Linked DNA regions of Saccharomyces cerevisiae S288C. Changing the gene in region 4 together with the main gene of any one other region gives a genetic interaction. Each region holds a gene or a part of one and is shown on either strand. Other genes may lie near its edges.

Region 1 (3,560 bases), on a different chromosome or scaffold from region 4:
AAAAACGACCCCAGTGAGGGTTGAACTCACGATCTTGCGATTAACAGTCGCACGCCTTAACCAACTTGGCCATGGAGTCACTTTAAATTCTGCAGAACGTGAAAGGTTCGATTTCCATGATCTACACGATTTTAATCATCTGTAAGCCTTGCCATGAAGCTAAATTGGTGAATTTTTAAGAATTGTTTTGTTGGAACGAGAGTAATTAATAGTGACATGAGTTGCTATGGTAACAATCTAATGCTTACATCGTATATTAATGTACACCTCGTATACGTTTAAGTGTGATTGCGCCTATTGCAGAAGGAATGTTAAACGAGAAGCTCAGACAATACTGAAGCTGTGTTAAAGACCTATTAGTTGAACATGTTATGGTAGGTACATATATGAGGAATATGAGTCGTCACATCAATGTTTAGTAACTACCGGAATCACTATTATATTGGTCATGATTAATATGACCAATCAGCGTGTGTTTTATATACATCTCTTATTTAGTATAAGAAGATCAGTACTTATTTCTTCATTAATACTAATTTTTAACCTCTAATTATCAACAGAGGAATATGAGGATTCCTAGATCCTCGAGGAGAACTTCTAGTATATTCTGTATACCTAATATTATAGCCTTTTTCAACAATGGAATCCCAACAATTATCTCAAAAATCACCTAAGCCTCACATGCATGTTTTACGTTGTGGTTGATGATCTATTGATGTTGAGGTACCATATTTTGAAATTCATTAAAACAACTTCTACCGGGCGTGTGGTCTAGAGGTATGATTCTCGCTTAGGGTGCGGGAGGTCCCGGGTTCGAGTCCCGGCTCGCCCCCATTGATTTATTTTTATCAAATTTTTTAATATTGCATATCTTTAGTGGGCAAAAAATTTTTCCCTGGGCAAAAATATAAGAGAGCTCATCTTATTGTTGTCAGCCCAATGATTCCCTTGTCAAATTGAATTTTCGGATTTACTTGTTCAGGTACCCGCGTTAAGGGGCTGCCGCGCCTGTCACTCTAAGAAAAAAGGAGCCATCAAAAACCATTCAGCATTAACTAAAAACGCGGGTAGAGATTACTACATATTCCAACAAGACCTTCGCAGGAAAGTATACCTAAACTAATTAAAGAAATCTCCGAAGTTCGCATTTCATTGAACGGCTCAATTAATCTTTGTAAATATGAGCGTTTTTACGTTCACATTGCCTTTTTTTTTATGTATTTACCTTGCATTTTTGTGCTAAAAGGCGTCACGTTTTTTTCCGCCGCAGCCGCCCGGAAATGAAAAGTATGACCCCCGCTAGACCAAAAATACTTTTGTGTTATTGGAGGATCGCAATCCCTTTGGAGCTTTTCCGATACTATCGACTTATCCGACCTCTTGTTGTTTGAAAATGTCAATTGATATCCATCCATTATATAAATGCTCAAAACTTGCAGCAACTATTCTTTACCCTTCCCCTGTTATGGATTGCTAGTCTTAAGGGGGAAATTTGCTGTTTACTAAAATACAAACCAGGTTTGTTTTGGCTTTTATTTGCATTTAAGTAATTACAATTACAACCATTAAAAAGAAAATAAGGCAAAACATATAGCAATATAATACTATTTACGAAGATGTCAGCGATATTATCAACAACTAGCAAAAGTTTCTTATCAAGGGGCTCCACAAGACAATGTCAAAATATGCAAAAGGCTCTTTTTGCACTATTGAATGCTCGCCACTATAGTAGCGCCTCCGAACAAACGTTGAAGGAGAGATTTGCTGAAATTATCCCAGCAAAGGCAGAAGAAATTAAAAAATTCAAGAAAGAACACGGTAAAACCGTTATTGGTGAAGTTCTTTTGGAGCAAGCTTATGGTGGTATGAGAGGTATTAAAGGCCTTGTTTGGGAAGGTTCCGTGTTAGACCCCGAAGAAGGTATTAGATTTAGGGGTCGTACTATTCCAGAAATTCAAAGGGAACTACCAAAGGCTGAGGGTAGTACAGAACCTTTGCCAGAAGCTTTATTTTGGTTGCTTTTGACTGGTGAAATACCTACTGACGCTCAAGTTAAAGCCCTTTCTGCTGATTTAGCTGCCAGATCAGAAATTCCAGAGCACGTTATCCAACTTTTAGATAGCCTCCCAAAAGATCTACATCCAATGGCGCAATTTTCTATTGCCGTGACTGCTTTAGAAAGCGAGTCTAAGTTTGCCAAAGCATATGCTCAAGGTGTATCCAAGAAAGAATATTGGAGCTATACATTTGAAGATTCGTTAGATCTGCTGGGTAAATTACCTGTTATTGCTTCCAAAATTTATCGTAATGTGTTCAAGGATGGTAAAATTACTTCAACCGATCCTAATGCTGACTATGGTAAAAATTTGGCCCAACTTTTGGGCTACGAAAACAAGGATTTTATTGACTTAATGAGACTATATTTAACTATTCATTCTGATCATGAAGGTGGTAACGTTTCTGCCCATACTACACATTTAGTGGGTTCTGCCTTATCTTCGCCATACTTATCTTTGGCCGCTGGTTTGAATGGTTTAGCTGGCCCATTACATGGTCGTGCCAATCAAGAAGTTTTAGAATGGCTATTTAAATTGAGAGAAGAAGTGAAAGGTGACTATTCAAAAGAAACAATTGAAAAGTACTTGTGGGATACTTTGAACGCAGGGAGAGTTGTTCCTGGTTATGGCCATGCGGTTTTGAGAAAAACTGATCCTCGTTATACGGCTCAACGTGAATTCGCATTGAAACATTTCCCAGATTACGAGTTATTTAAGTTGGTCTCCACCATTTATGAAGTTGCCCCAGGGGTTTTAACTAAGCATGGTAAAACTAAGAACCCATGGCCAAATGTTGATTCACATTCCGGTGTTTTATTGCAATACTATGGTCTAACTGAGGCTTCGTTCTACACTGTATTGTTTGGTGTTGCCAGAGCTATTGGTGTGTTACCCCAATTAATCATCGATAGGGCTGTTGGTGCTCCAATCGAAAGGCCAAAATCATTCTCCACCGAAAAATACAAGGAGTTGGTAAAGAAAATCGAAAGTAAGAACTAAGGAAAATTTGATTTTTGATTCAGGGTATGCGACTATTCAAACACGTATTTTCATATACGAATGAGTAGTTTATAATTTATATAAATATATATTACATAAGGAAATGGCTATGACTTCATGATTTTTACGCTTTGAGTCCCCTATGCCTACCGGTTATGTTATATACTTGGCAAATGATATCAATGAATAGAAAACAAAATGCTCTTAAATTCCTGCAAAGCGCTTTCAAATCGAATTGTGGTGGGCTGGCGCGCTGATTTAGCAGTAAAATCTAGCCTGTAGTCGATATACTACGTCAAGGTGTAACTAACGTTTATATGTATATGAACCTGCAGAAGAAGCAAAATGACAAGGTTAATGCATCTTTATCTGTCCTAGAGTAGAAGATACACTAAAAAGTTGATAAAGCGAATATAATATGGTCATGTGAAAAAAGCAATCTCATAAAATTTTCTCTTTTTCCTTTTTTTCTTCTGTTCTTACCTCAAGATAAATGTCACTTTT
Region 2 (4,776 bases), on a different chromosome or scaffold from region 4:
GACACCAACGTCCACCGATGACACACAACTCTTGACCTACTGGATTGTCTTTTCATTTTTGAGTGTCATTGAATTCTGGTCCAAGGCAATTCTATATTTGATTCCATTCTACTGGTTTTTGAAAACCGTTTTCTTAATCTACATTGCCTTGCCTCAAACTGGTGGCGCTAGAATGATCTATCAAAAGATCGTAGCCCCATTGACCGACAGATATATCCTAAGAGATGTTAGCAAGACAGAAAAGGATGAAATTAGAGCTTCCGTCAATGAGGCTTCTAAGGCTACAGGTGCTTCTGTTCATTAAGAGGCAACTCACCTATATCCTCAAATCAAACTCTCGTTTTTGTTCTCTTTGTTATCTATTCTATTGAGAGCATATAAGTACATATGTTATTAGTTGTTATATATCGCTACTTAACATATAAAATATTTTGGAGTCGTTTATGGTGTCCCAGAAGATAGCATTTCTATTCATCGTGTTGTGTCGTGACGTGTCTCTTGATATGCGCGACAGACCATCCAACGCAAGGTCATTAATCATGTTATGTTCTGTAATTTTAAAGGCATTTTTTATAGAGTTTCATCGAATTTGTGATCGAACTGTTCATTGGTGATAGATGAAGAGCCATTTAAATGAAAATCCAACTTAACTCTTAACTTCAGTTTCCCAGATCCAGAAATTTTCAATGACTGCTTGCAAATTTGGCTGGCGTTTATTGTGGAAGATGGATATAACTGGCCTAGTGTTAGCTTTTGAGCTTTAGGAACGGCACAGAAAGTTTTTAAGTCAGATATTAAAGACTTTGCCTGAAAATATAAATCCAAATGTGCTAATCCAGAGTTTGCAGAGAGCAAGGAAGCATATACATTCAGTGAGGAACTGTCATATATCTTGTTGGCATCCAATGGTAAGGTGACACCTGAGTTTGCCTCCACTGCCGACGAATGATTGATTGATTCTTCCTTGTTCGCATTTTTGGGCACCTGAGCAATGTCATTCTTCTCTCCAAAAATCTCTTCTAATATGTCAATTGGTTTCACATTGTCACCAGTAGAAGCCTTGCTTTCAGCCTTGCTATCCTCACCCAATAAATCTGACAGCAGATCAACTGGTTCGTTGGAGATAAGGTTTTTCGATAGAGCTTTTCCATTATCCTGTTCCTCGGTAATTTTTTCAAATTTAGGCATTGTTTCTAAAATGATCTTCTTCACAGAAATTGACTGATTGAAAAATATCTCGTATTGATTGCTTTTCATTTGCAGTGATAAATCAGTGGAATCCGTGTAGCTCAATATCAGTTGTCTTAGTTTTTCAATATTTTTCGCGTCATGGAACCTCACAGATAATTTTAATGCTGCTGTTAAAATGTAATTGATTATCTTCAGATTCGTTGCTGTGTAGAGTTCTTGCAAAGTTAGTAAGTAATCAGTAATAGATGACTCATTGATTATGTCTGCACCATTTTTATTGCCCTCGTTGAGTACTAAATCGCCATATTCGCCAATGCACCAAATCAAAACCAACTGCCAACCAATATTTTCCTCGGAAATCTCCGCTGATGTTCCATTTAGTGAAATTGTCAGCATTTTCCGTAAAAATTCAGATTTGTCGGATAACTGGCTCGTATTATTTATTATGATTAGAATATCATTAATTTTTTCATAGTTGATAAACGATCCCACTAATTTTAAGATATTAAAGAAAACATCTAATTTCCAGCTTTCATCTTTGACAACGCGGGTATCAAAAGTGTCAATTAAGTGATCTATAGTGTATATTATGAGATCTTTTGAATCTTCATCCTGTTTTGCCAAAAATTTCATCAATTCGTTAACCAATTCCACTAAATTTGAATCGTCCAAGATGGCGAAGCTCAACTCTAACGCTCTCATGCGGATCGACACATCGGTATCCTGCAGACAATGAGAAATGAATTTTCTATGCCTTTGTACTGCGGTAGGCTCTTGGGGAACAACTTTTAATAAGGTGTTTAATGAAACGTATTTAGTATTATTATCTTTTCCTGCAAGAAACTTGGCCAAGATGTTAATACCAAGGACACGTAGAGGCTGGTTCAAATCCAACGAAAAGATCGTCTTCACGGTCTCATAAAGAATGGCCTGTCCGCTGTTTTTCGTTGAATCCGTATTCGTCGCAATACGAGTCAATAAATCGCAGAAATTATCTTTGTAGTCCAAAACATTGTTCGAATTTAAGAGCTCACCAACTTGAAAGTATAGTTTTAAAGTGTAAATTATTTCACACTGCAGAAATGGGTCACAAATACCTTGGACATCATATCCAGGTTCAATATTTTTAGAATTCATATTTTCCAAACGAATGAAAAAATCACGCAAAAGTAAAGATAATGGAGACAAGATGTCATTGCTGTAATCAATACCGTCTTCATCTTCATCCTCATCTTTTTTTCTGTTCAATCCAATTAACAAAATAGATTGTATGATTTTCGTAACGCCTAAAAGTACACCGTGAGTACATATTGAATGACTAGACAATATCTTAGTAATGTCTTCGATGTTGAAGATTTCTAAAAGTGAAACGTCTTTGAAAATTAGTTTGGCAGCACATTGAAGCGCTTTTTTCAAGAGGAAAGGGTCTCTTGAATTTTTGATGATATTTTCGACGTCTGGGTATAAATCTCTGGCTAATTCAGGGGAGCTCAAAAAGCCTAATGAGGTTAGTGCAAGTGACACTGCATATTTGTTGGGATGATGCAAATCGTTGTTCAACATGTTCGTTAAGAGTGTCAATAAATCTTCAGATTCGTCCAACAATAAAGTTGCGGCCAGATAGCCTAATCTTTTATCGACAAAATCGTCAGAAGCAATTAAATTGATAGACTCCACCTGACCGAAATGTGTCTTTTCCCCTAGAATGTATAGATACAGAAGTTTCTGGATATTTACTCGCCTTTTTTCATGTGGTAGATGGTCATCTCTCAATTTTGTCCTAATTTTAGCAGATTGTTTCGTTATAATTGCCCTTTCATCTGCCAGTGTTTTGGCACCACGAACGTCTTTGATAAAGCTTCTCAACGAAGAGCCCATTATGGTGTTCAGGTCTTTCTCGTTGCTAAATCAAGATGGTCAATATTTCTTCTCCAATATTAGCAGTATAAAATCTCGAAAAAGTATGATTTAGTTGTAATTCTCATATGGCCAAGCCCACTAAATTCAGTGAATACAAACAGCTAAGGACGTCAAAACTCAGAGTCGGGTAATCTTCATTTGAATTTTTTTTCTCTTAAGGTAGATAACACCAAAGAAAAGCAATCAGTAGCAAAATATGGACTTTAACGCTGTCAGTTCCAATTGAGAAATATCGTAAAGAAAGTTAGTTGTTTTCACTCGCAACCTCTCTACCTTCGTGGCCTAAAATAGATTTAAATAATCGAATAAACGGTTTGTTCTTATATGTGATACCCTCTTTCACCACCTTCCTGTAGCCCCAGTTGGTATTACTTGTCCCAACCTCATTCCTCTTTCCATTATCAATTAATCGGTTTGTGTTGTTCGTAGCAGGACCACACTTCCGGAATTATATACATTTACATGTATATAGAGAAGAAAGCTTCGGCGGCTAAAGAATAGAACCATCTATTACCCGCTCGCCCGGTCGTTTGGATGCGTGGGTGGTATAGTTTCTTTTTTTTCATTTTAAGGGATACCGCTCCCCACGTACCCCACGACCAGCCCTAGTGGAATAAGAAATGCAAAATCCGGGGTTGGCGCAGCGATTCTGCACGGCCAAACCCTGGGCTTCTTTATTTTGTAGATCTGCCAAATGATGGCTATGCCTTACTCGGTATCACATGGAAAAGACCCCCGGCTTATTGAATCCCGTCTCCCGTTCCCTGCATAGTTGTCACGGTTTGGACTATATATATCGTCGTTTCTCTGTTTTATTTATTATGATGGCTCTCCAAGGGTAATCAGTCAGACTAGTAAGCAAAGTCAATCATGCAATCTACTGTCCCAATAGCAATTGCGAGCAACGGCAACAAGAGAGATGTCGTCCAGAACGTTTCTGCAGGCGACGAGGGTGATATATTGCAAAGGCTAGCCCGTAACAGAGAGATGATTTCTACCTCCCTCTCGCCACAAAAATCGTCAGGATTTAGTGGTAGAAGGAGGTCATCTAGTGTTAGGGACGCCCTTTCTTCTTTTTTTGGAACTGGTAATAGTCCAACATCTAGTATGGACGATTATTCCAATTTGATGAACCGTAACTATTCTACCGCATCAACTGCCATGTGTAGGGGGAACAGTTTTCCTTCAGATGTTGGCACTAAGGCTTACAATATTACGGGATCTTACCAACCGGATAGGCACAGGAATTCTGTTCCGTATACCACCATAGACCAGTTACACACAAGGCAAGACACCGGGTTGAGGAGAGAGTCAGATCCAGTCGCGGCAAAACAAATATCTAGTAATAATGATATTGTTAGGTCATTCATAACACATCATGCTAGTAATAGCACTATGTTTATTAATAGGGTGCTATCGGACTATTTAGCGGATCGTGGTTTCATCAAGCAAACACCGTTATATAATAAGAAAAGTGTGCTGGAAATTTCCATTGCAACAAGTGCAGAATCAGTTTTCTTGCCAACTACAAAAAGTGATGAAACAGAGTATCTATCACTGATTCATGGTTCTTTAAATCAGGCGCGAACACAGCCTGTCGGGTCCACTAACACTGCAGAAAGTGATTTCCTCCCTTCATGTCCTACGATGGACACTTTGAATGAA
Region 3 (3,429 bases), on a different chromosome or scaffold from region 4:
TCCTGTAGGAAATATAGCAAATTTATTATGGAATATCATCGTAAGCACGAGTTTTCAGTTCATTGGATTTTTAATAACCTACATTTTACACACATCTCACGCAGCAAAGCAAGGTTCAAGGTTTGGATTAGGGTTAACGTTCATTGGATATGGTTATTCAATGATTCCCAATGATGTTACTTCAAAAGTCGGCAAAAATAAAAGCTTAAATAGAATGGAATTAGAGGATCCAAATGAATTCGATGATGTTCGTCTAAATTCACAATCAACGACACAAGATAAATTTGAATCACATTTGAATCACGGTCTGGATGAAGAAAAACAAAACATACCATGGTTGGCTGTTTTTGTGGCATTTCTTGGGCTATTTATCACCCTGAAGAGTATATACGACTACATTCAAGTCAAAAAATTGGAAAAGAAATACCTCAACCAAAGTCAAAATCAAGCATAAGCCATCTTCTTCATTATGATAAAAAGAGATATATAACTTTTTTAAGTGATCGGCTGGTAAATAGACTTATAACGAGTAGAAAACATTAGATGATATATTGTACACAATAATACATTTCAGGCTAGCATAACTAAGACCTTTTCATAGATAGTGAAAACAATACCACCACTCAAGACCAATCTCCCAAGTCTAGGCGTAGCACCTTTCCAAAACGTCTTTAACCCTTCTTCTTTGAAAATGGTTGCAAAACAATTCATTGTAGAGGAGTATTTGGTGGAATCCAAACTTTGCATTCTTGTTTTCACAGTATCAAGGGGCATGGTGGAATAGACCGTCACAATACCACTAAATGCACCCACTAAGAAGGTTAACCCGGATGATAAAGGTTTGTCTTTTGGCGAATCCGTATAATCTTGGATCAAGGTCTTAATCTTATTGTAACAACCCAATCTAACGGCTTGGTTTGCGGCCTGTCTCATGGAAACTGGCAAAACACCACGATAAAGACCAGAAAATCCTTTATCACGGACTAATGATGAATAGTTTCGTACTACACCGCGCCCATTATTATGGTATTTTGGTGTAGCAGATTGTTTATCATCGATCAAAGCAGTTTTGATTGCTTCAAAAGGAGTCACTGCGGCAACACTTTCTAATAGTCCCGCACCTAACCCAGCTATCACCCCTCTTGTACCACTTAGTTCTCCAGTTTCACTATCTCTTAGCATGTCTTTAATGGTATCAAAGCCAAGAAATCTAATACCCGCCTTAGCGGTGTTTCCAATAATAAATGCGGGACATCCGACATAAATGGAACCAATGCCCTGAGTTTTTGCAGTTTTATATATCAATACCAGAGGATTTCTTGATGCCTTGGAGGCCTTATCAATCAGCTGCAGCCTTGTTTTGGCAAACTCAAAAGGATATGTTATACATGCTTCAGCAGCACCGGCTAGGGACCCTGCCAGAAACGAGTGCAATGGATCTACGTCACTTTTGGTAGCTTTACTGGACATCGGTAAAATGCTAATTTATAATTCAAGCTCTACTTTGGAGTTCTTTCATTGTGACATCAAAATGTTTTTAATTTTACGTTGGCTTCGACATTTTACGTTTTATATATCACGCTAAAGTGAGACTAAATTTCATTGTTCTTCTTTTTTTTTTTTTTCACTTCTAATAATTGAAAATTCCGCAGGAATTCTTCCATATTCTTGACTCTTCAGTAAGACTAACTTAATGGAAATAGAGAAAATAGTACATATTTGAAAAAAAAAAAAGAGGTGTTGAAATGATTTGAGAATATTAAATAGCTTACAAGCGTTAGCCGAGTTCCCAGACAGCAGAGTTTCTACCCTGTGCTCTTTGTTGGCGGCTTTATTGATGAGGAATATAAAAATGTAATTAGGCAAACCTACGCGCGAAAATATAAGAAGCAAAGATATAAAGTGTAGTATATTTGAATATTTACATGAACGAAACGGCGACGTATAATGGTAATCGGCTGGGAACTTCATTAAAAAGTCAAGATGTAAGTTACCTCTTAGTAAGAAGAGTTATTGCAGCAAGCTTAGTATCAATAGGGAGACTCTGTCATGTAAAAAAATAAATGAACACAATCATAACCTCTTCGACTGGGCTATTCGTTGTATAGTATATGTGGTGGAGTGTAATGAATGAAGTTCTCAGAAGCTTGAAAGCATATCAAAATCACGTATTGACTATGACAGATTCTTGTTTCTTGCTCCATTACTCCATTCGAGTTTTTCACAACTTTTGTCGTTCGTCTATAACATCTCTTTTTTTTCCCACTCTTCTAAAATATTGGCATAGCTGACATGTTTGGAACCGAATAAGCAATTACAATACGACAGTAAAATAAAAGCATGTTATTGCTGCTTGTAGAGAATTCCTGCATATGTAACTTTCTCATTCCGACGGGATAAGTTCATAAACTAATCAGCGATGAGTTGCGGAAAATTCGTCAATAGAATATTTTCCAGTCAGTGGTGGTCCCAGTGGCCTGCAACCTAATGGCTATAGTTCTGGATAATAAATTGGGCAAAGGTCAGTATAAAGAATGAATGTATCAGGCCGTAATTGAAGCTTTCAAGTCCAGGTGAAAGGCCAAATCGACAATTAGCGAAAACAGGATTTTTTTACCAACTTGAAATAGTGACTGCTGTCTTTTTGCCTGATTAAGTGGTTATATATTTCAACTAATATCACAACAAAAGGCCTCTCAAAATTTGTGGCGAAGTGTACATCCTGGGTGCTCAGGTAAGCGTCGTCTTCGTATTTTTTTTTTTTCAACAGTAGTTTGGAAATAATGCTCTTCGAGGAATGCGAGCGGAAATGTTATCCACTGTATAAGTCGATATTTTAAGGGACGCTAAATATATCATCATAGCTCGTCTATTGGTGGCTTCTCCAATTGCACTTTCAATGCATTATGGTAAAGTGTGGTGATAAGGCATAGTGATGTTTACAGAGGTCTGTTGGTTTCTCTGGGCTCGCTCATCATCCGACCAGTAACCTTGTGGGGTTTCACATATTGTTCTATGCATTATTATCACGGATTTGTGCCTGCAAATGCTGTTTCTTTGGCTTTTCTTTCTAAAAAAATTATGATATATATATTGTTCCTCCTTGTTTAACAGGCTTTACGGTATTGTGGATCCTAGTAATAGGCGTACTTTTCTTCATTTACATATTTGAACAATATATGTCTCACAAGTAGTTGACCGAATAGCGTTACGTAAGGGTCAAAAACCTTTTCAGAATTGTATATATGACATTTTTAGAACATGATATAATAAACAGAATATAAAAGAAAATAGAGACGACGTACCATGGCATGAAGAATTGTACTGATATCACATTGTGTTGAGCACTGATAGATTAATACTATATTTCTGCTAGGTGCGGGGGGTAACATGTCCTAATGTGTGGCAACCACATTCTAAGGCTCGGTA
Region 4 (3,423 bases):
ACTTCATCATCGATTTTGTCATCTTGGCGCCCATTTTCCGCATTCGCCTGTGTATCCTCTTTTGAATTTTCAAATTCAGGGGTTTCAAATGAGATCAATGCGCCAAAATAGTTTCTACCCTGTTTCTTGGACCTTGAATGGTGATTAGGGATTATTTTTCCGTAAACGTCGCCTTTTAAATTCGTTATATCCCAATTCAAGCCGGCAATTTTCAGATCAGGATATCCCGTAGGTAATCCAATGTCTTTCATCTTCATACACCATGGTGGTAGTTGACCTTCGGGTAAATTCATTATGGCACGAAGCTCTTGGCTAATTCTCCCCGGTCTCTTATGATCAACCATTCTTTTCCAGTTCGTTTCCTCGAAAAGATTCCTATTTTCATAATAGACGTCACCGAAGCATAACAAATGGTCAGGTTTCCAGTTGGCTCCTATCTTGAAAAACACATCGTGTAACTTCTTGTAATCCAAATCCAAGGCGCCCATTTTCGGCTGCACTCTTGCTCTTGAGGCCTCCTTTAGTGACTTTTCATCTTGACCATCCAGTCCGCTTTGCGGAAGCGTCGATCTCATTTGTTCTATATTTGTCTTCTTGATAATGTCAGGAAGTTCAAAAGGTCTTTTACCTAACAGAGAACGGCCAGATAGATATTCCTTCTTGGACTGCCAGTGGCTTGGAACAGGAATGACATTTTTGGTGCACTTAATTGACGCTAGTAAGCCTGGATATCTTGCGTCACAATCGTACCATTCTATAATTTGAGGATACGGTACCTGGCTTTTTAACTGCGAAAGTGAAGGTTTTTCAGTCTTCCTACGTTTTCTTGCCGATAGATGCTCCTCAATACCATCCGAGGGTGTATCCTCCAATTCATCTTCTGCTGTATGCTTTCTGTTCATAACTGGGTTTTTCTCAACAATAACGACATGATTGTTCTTTTCATCTTTCGTGATTTCCTTCGGCGTATCATTCTCTTGCACTTGAAATCGTTGTAAAACGTCTTTGAACTCTTTTTCTAACTTCGCATCCACTACCTTATTCGTCTTTCCTTTGCTGTTAGTCACCCCACCCTTTTTCTTTTGCTCAAGCCTTCTTGCATCAATCATGGCGGCGATCTCAGCCTTATTATTTACCACAGACGCATTCTTATTTTGGTTATTTCCGGAACGCTTCCTACTTTTGGTTCTAGCCATTTCACCACTATCTTTATGATCTGATGCTCTGCCTATAGATATATACTCTGTATGCTACTGCCTTCTTAATACCTTTCTAAACAATACCAATATACTGTATTGGATTTCTATATGGTTGAAAGTTATTATTCTTGCAATTATAGCCCTGTAATGAAGCTGCGTGATTGGACCTGTGCCCTCTTCTTCCATTACTTACCCTATCACTTTTCTTTCTCAAGACCTAGGTCCTGTCGGCAAATTCCGCTGCAATAACGCGAAGATCATGACTTTTTTCACTCAGAAGGCAGAGAATCACGATTGATAAAGATCACGCAAAAAAAAAAGATGATTGGCTAAATGCATAGGGCGACAAACATGGGCCCTTCTTTTGCACTCATGTTTTAGCTTCCTTTGTCCCATTGTGTAAACTTATGACAAGATATCGCACTCTAAAAAAAAAAAAGAAAAACGCATTAGCCTCTTGCATGGATCTTACCTTCTGTAACATTTATATATCTCGAGAAATCTACGGACATTTAAAAAACGCTGTCAATACAATCTTCTAGATATTCGGATTTGAATTTTGCAAAAAGTCCGAAGCTGCCCACCTCAAGTCATTGTTTCAACTCGCTTACGGTATATATATCTACTTTCATTGAGATATAAACAGCGCTGATACAATCTTTTTATATAAGTCTTTTGTACAAATAAAGCTAGGAAAAGCCCGACGTCATTATAGCTATGCCATCTACCACTAATACTGCTGCAGCAAACGTAATAGAAAAAAAGCCAGTCTCGTTTTCTAATATCCTATTGGGTGCCTGTTTAAACTTGTCAGAGGTGACTACATTAGGGCAACCTTTGGAGGTTGTTAAGACCACAATGGCTGCAAACAGAAACTTCACATTTTTAGAATCTGTTAAGCATGTCTGGTCAAGAGGTGGTATCTTGGGTTACTACCAAGGTTTGATTCCATGGGCATGGATCGAAGCCTCCACTAAAGGTGCTGTGTTGCTGTTCGTGTCAGCTGAGGCTGAGTATCGTTTCAAAAGTTTGGGGTTGAACAACTTTGCCTCAGGTATATTAGGTGGTGTCACGGGTGGTGTCACTCAAGCCTACTTAACCATGGGGTTCTGTACCTGTATGAAAACGGTGGAAATTACAAGACATAAATCTGCCTCCGCAGGTGGTGTCCCACAATCTTCTTGGAGTGTGTTCAAGAATATTTATAAAAAGGAAGGTATTAGAGGTATTAATAAGGGTGTTAATGCTGTTGCTATTAGACAAATGACCAACTGGGGTTCTCGTTTTGGTTTGTCCAGACTAGTGGAAGATGGTATCAGAAAGATCACCGGGAAAACCAATAAAGACGACAAGTTGAATCCGTTCGAGAAAATTGGTGCCAGTGCTTTAGGTGGTGGTTTAAGTGCTTGGAATCAACCAATCGAAGTCATTAGAGTTGAAATGCAATCTAAGAAGGAAGATCCAAACAGACCAAAAAATTTGACTGTTGGTAAGACATTTAAATACATCTATCAATCAAATGGTCTAAAGGGTCTTTACCGTGGTGTCACCCCAAGAATTGGTTTAGGTATCTGGCAAACTGTCTTCATGGTTGGTTTTGGTGATATGGCGAAGGAATTTGTCGCCAGAATGACTGGTGAAACCCCAGTTGCCAAACATTAGCGTGTATTGTACTATAAGTTTTTTTTAAAAAAATTAATTATTTAGCTTAGTCATTTTTTTTTTTTCTGAGGATATTGCTCTTATGCTGGGGTGCTTCCTATTTGTCTCAACTTGTTCTAATTGTACTAAGGTTATCAGCTATTTACTTCATGCAAACCTTAATATCTATAGATTCTTTGAAAGGAAGCCTTACCCATTTACCTCTGGCCGTTCATGAAATGTTGAAATTATTAAATTCTACAGAATTGATAATACATAAAAATAAACTATTAAAGTATCAGAAAAATATTTTATATCTTAAAATTCAAATATGCACAGTTCAGTAGAAAGTGGAAGGTCTCTTGTAGGAGAAAGTCTTGGTGGATTTTTGGACTCTGTGAGGCAATGGGAATTTCAAGTCCTTGGTCAAAAATTGCTTAACGTATTGTCTCTTGACGTCAGCAGTCTTTTCAATTTCAGCAACCTTCAAGATGTGAATAGATCTAAATCTAGCTCTGTGTCTGGCAGCCATGTCTTGGTATAAGGTTTCGACGGCAGCAACTCTGGAGACGTCTCTGATTTC

The links.
Region 1: mutations in YHM2 (region 4) and CIT1 together harm fitness more than expected from each alone (negative genetic interaction), as found in Saccharomyces cerevisiae (2 studies listed by BioGRID).
Region 2: mutations in YHM2 (region 4) and APL4 together harm fitness less than expected from each alone (positive genetic interaction), as found in Saccharomyces cerevisiae (2 studies listed by BioGRID).
Region 3: of YHM2 (region 4) and CTP1, a mutation in one rescues a mutant of the other (synthetic rescue), as found in Saccharomyces cerevisiae (one study listed by BioGRID).

Annotation. Positions count from the first base shown.
Region 1 is NC_001146.8:629,118-632,677, reverse strand, and holds CIT1 (citrate (Si)-synthase CIT1), read left to right. Parts: upstream 1-1,616; coding exon 1,617-3,056; downstream 3,057-3,560. UniProt on the Saccharomyces cerevisiae protein: Specific citrate synthase with catalytic activity only with acetyl-CoA.
Region 2 is NC_001148.4:623,899-628,674, forward strand, and holds APL4 (AP-1 complex subunit gamma), read right to left. Parts: upstream 3,070-4,776; coding exon 571-3,069; downstream 1-570. Other genes in the region: YOP1 (Yop1p), read left to right, coding at 1-304; CSR2 (Csr2p), read left to right, coding at 3,982-4,776. UniProt on the Saccharomyces cerevisiae protein: Adaptins are components of the adapter complexes which link clathrin to receptors in coated vesicles. Clathrin-associated protein complexes are believed to interact with the cytoplasmic tails of membrane proteins, leading to their selection and concentration.
Region 3 is NC_001134.8:783,103-786,531, forward strand, and holds CTP1 (Ctp1p), read right to left. Parts: upstream 1,471-3,429; coding exon 571-1,470; downstream 1-570. Other genes in the region: BSD2 (Bsd2p), read left to right, coding at 1-454; YBR292C (uncharacterized protein), read right to left, coding at 1,600-1,971. UniProt on the Saccharomyces cerevisiae protein: Transport of citrate across inner mitochondrial membrane.
Region 4 is NC_001145.3:750,045-753,467, forward strand, and holds YHM2 (Yhm2p), read left to right. Parts: upstream 1-1,916; coding exon 1,917-2,861; downstream 2,862-3,423. Other genes in the region: U2 snRNP complex subunit CUS1, read right to left, coding at 1-1,196; 60S ribosomal protein eL20 RPL20A, read right to left, coding at 3,181-3,423. UniProt on the Saccharomyces cerevisiae protein: Mitochondrial antiporter which catalyzes the transport of citrate and oxoglutarate across the membrane. Also shows specificity for oxaloacetate, and to a lesser extent succinate and fumarate.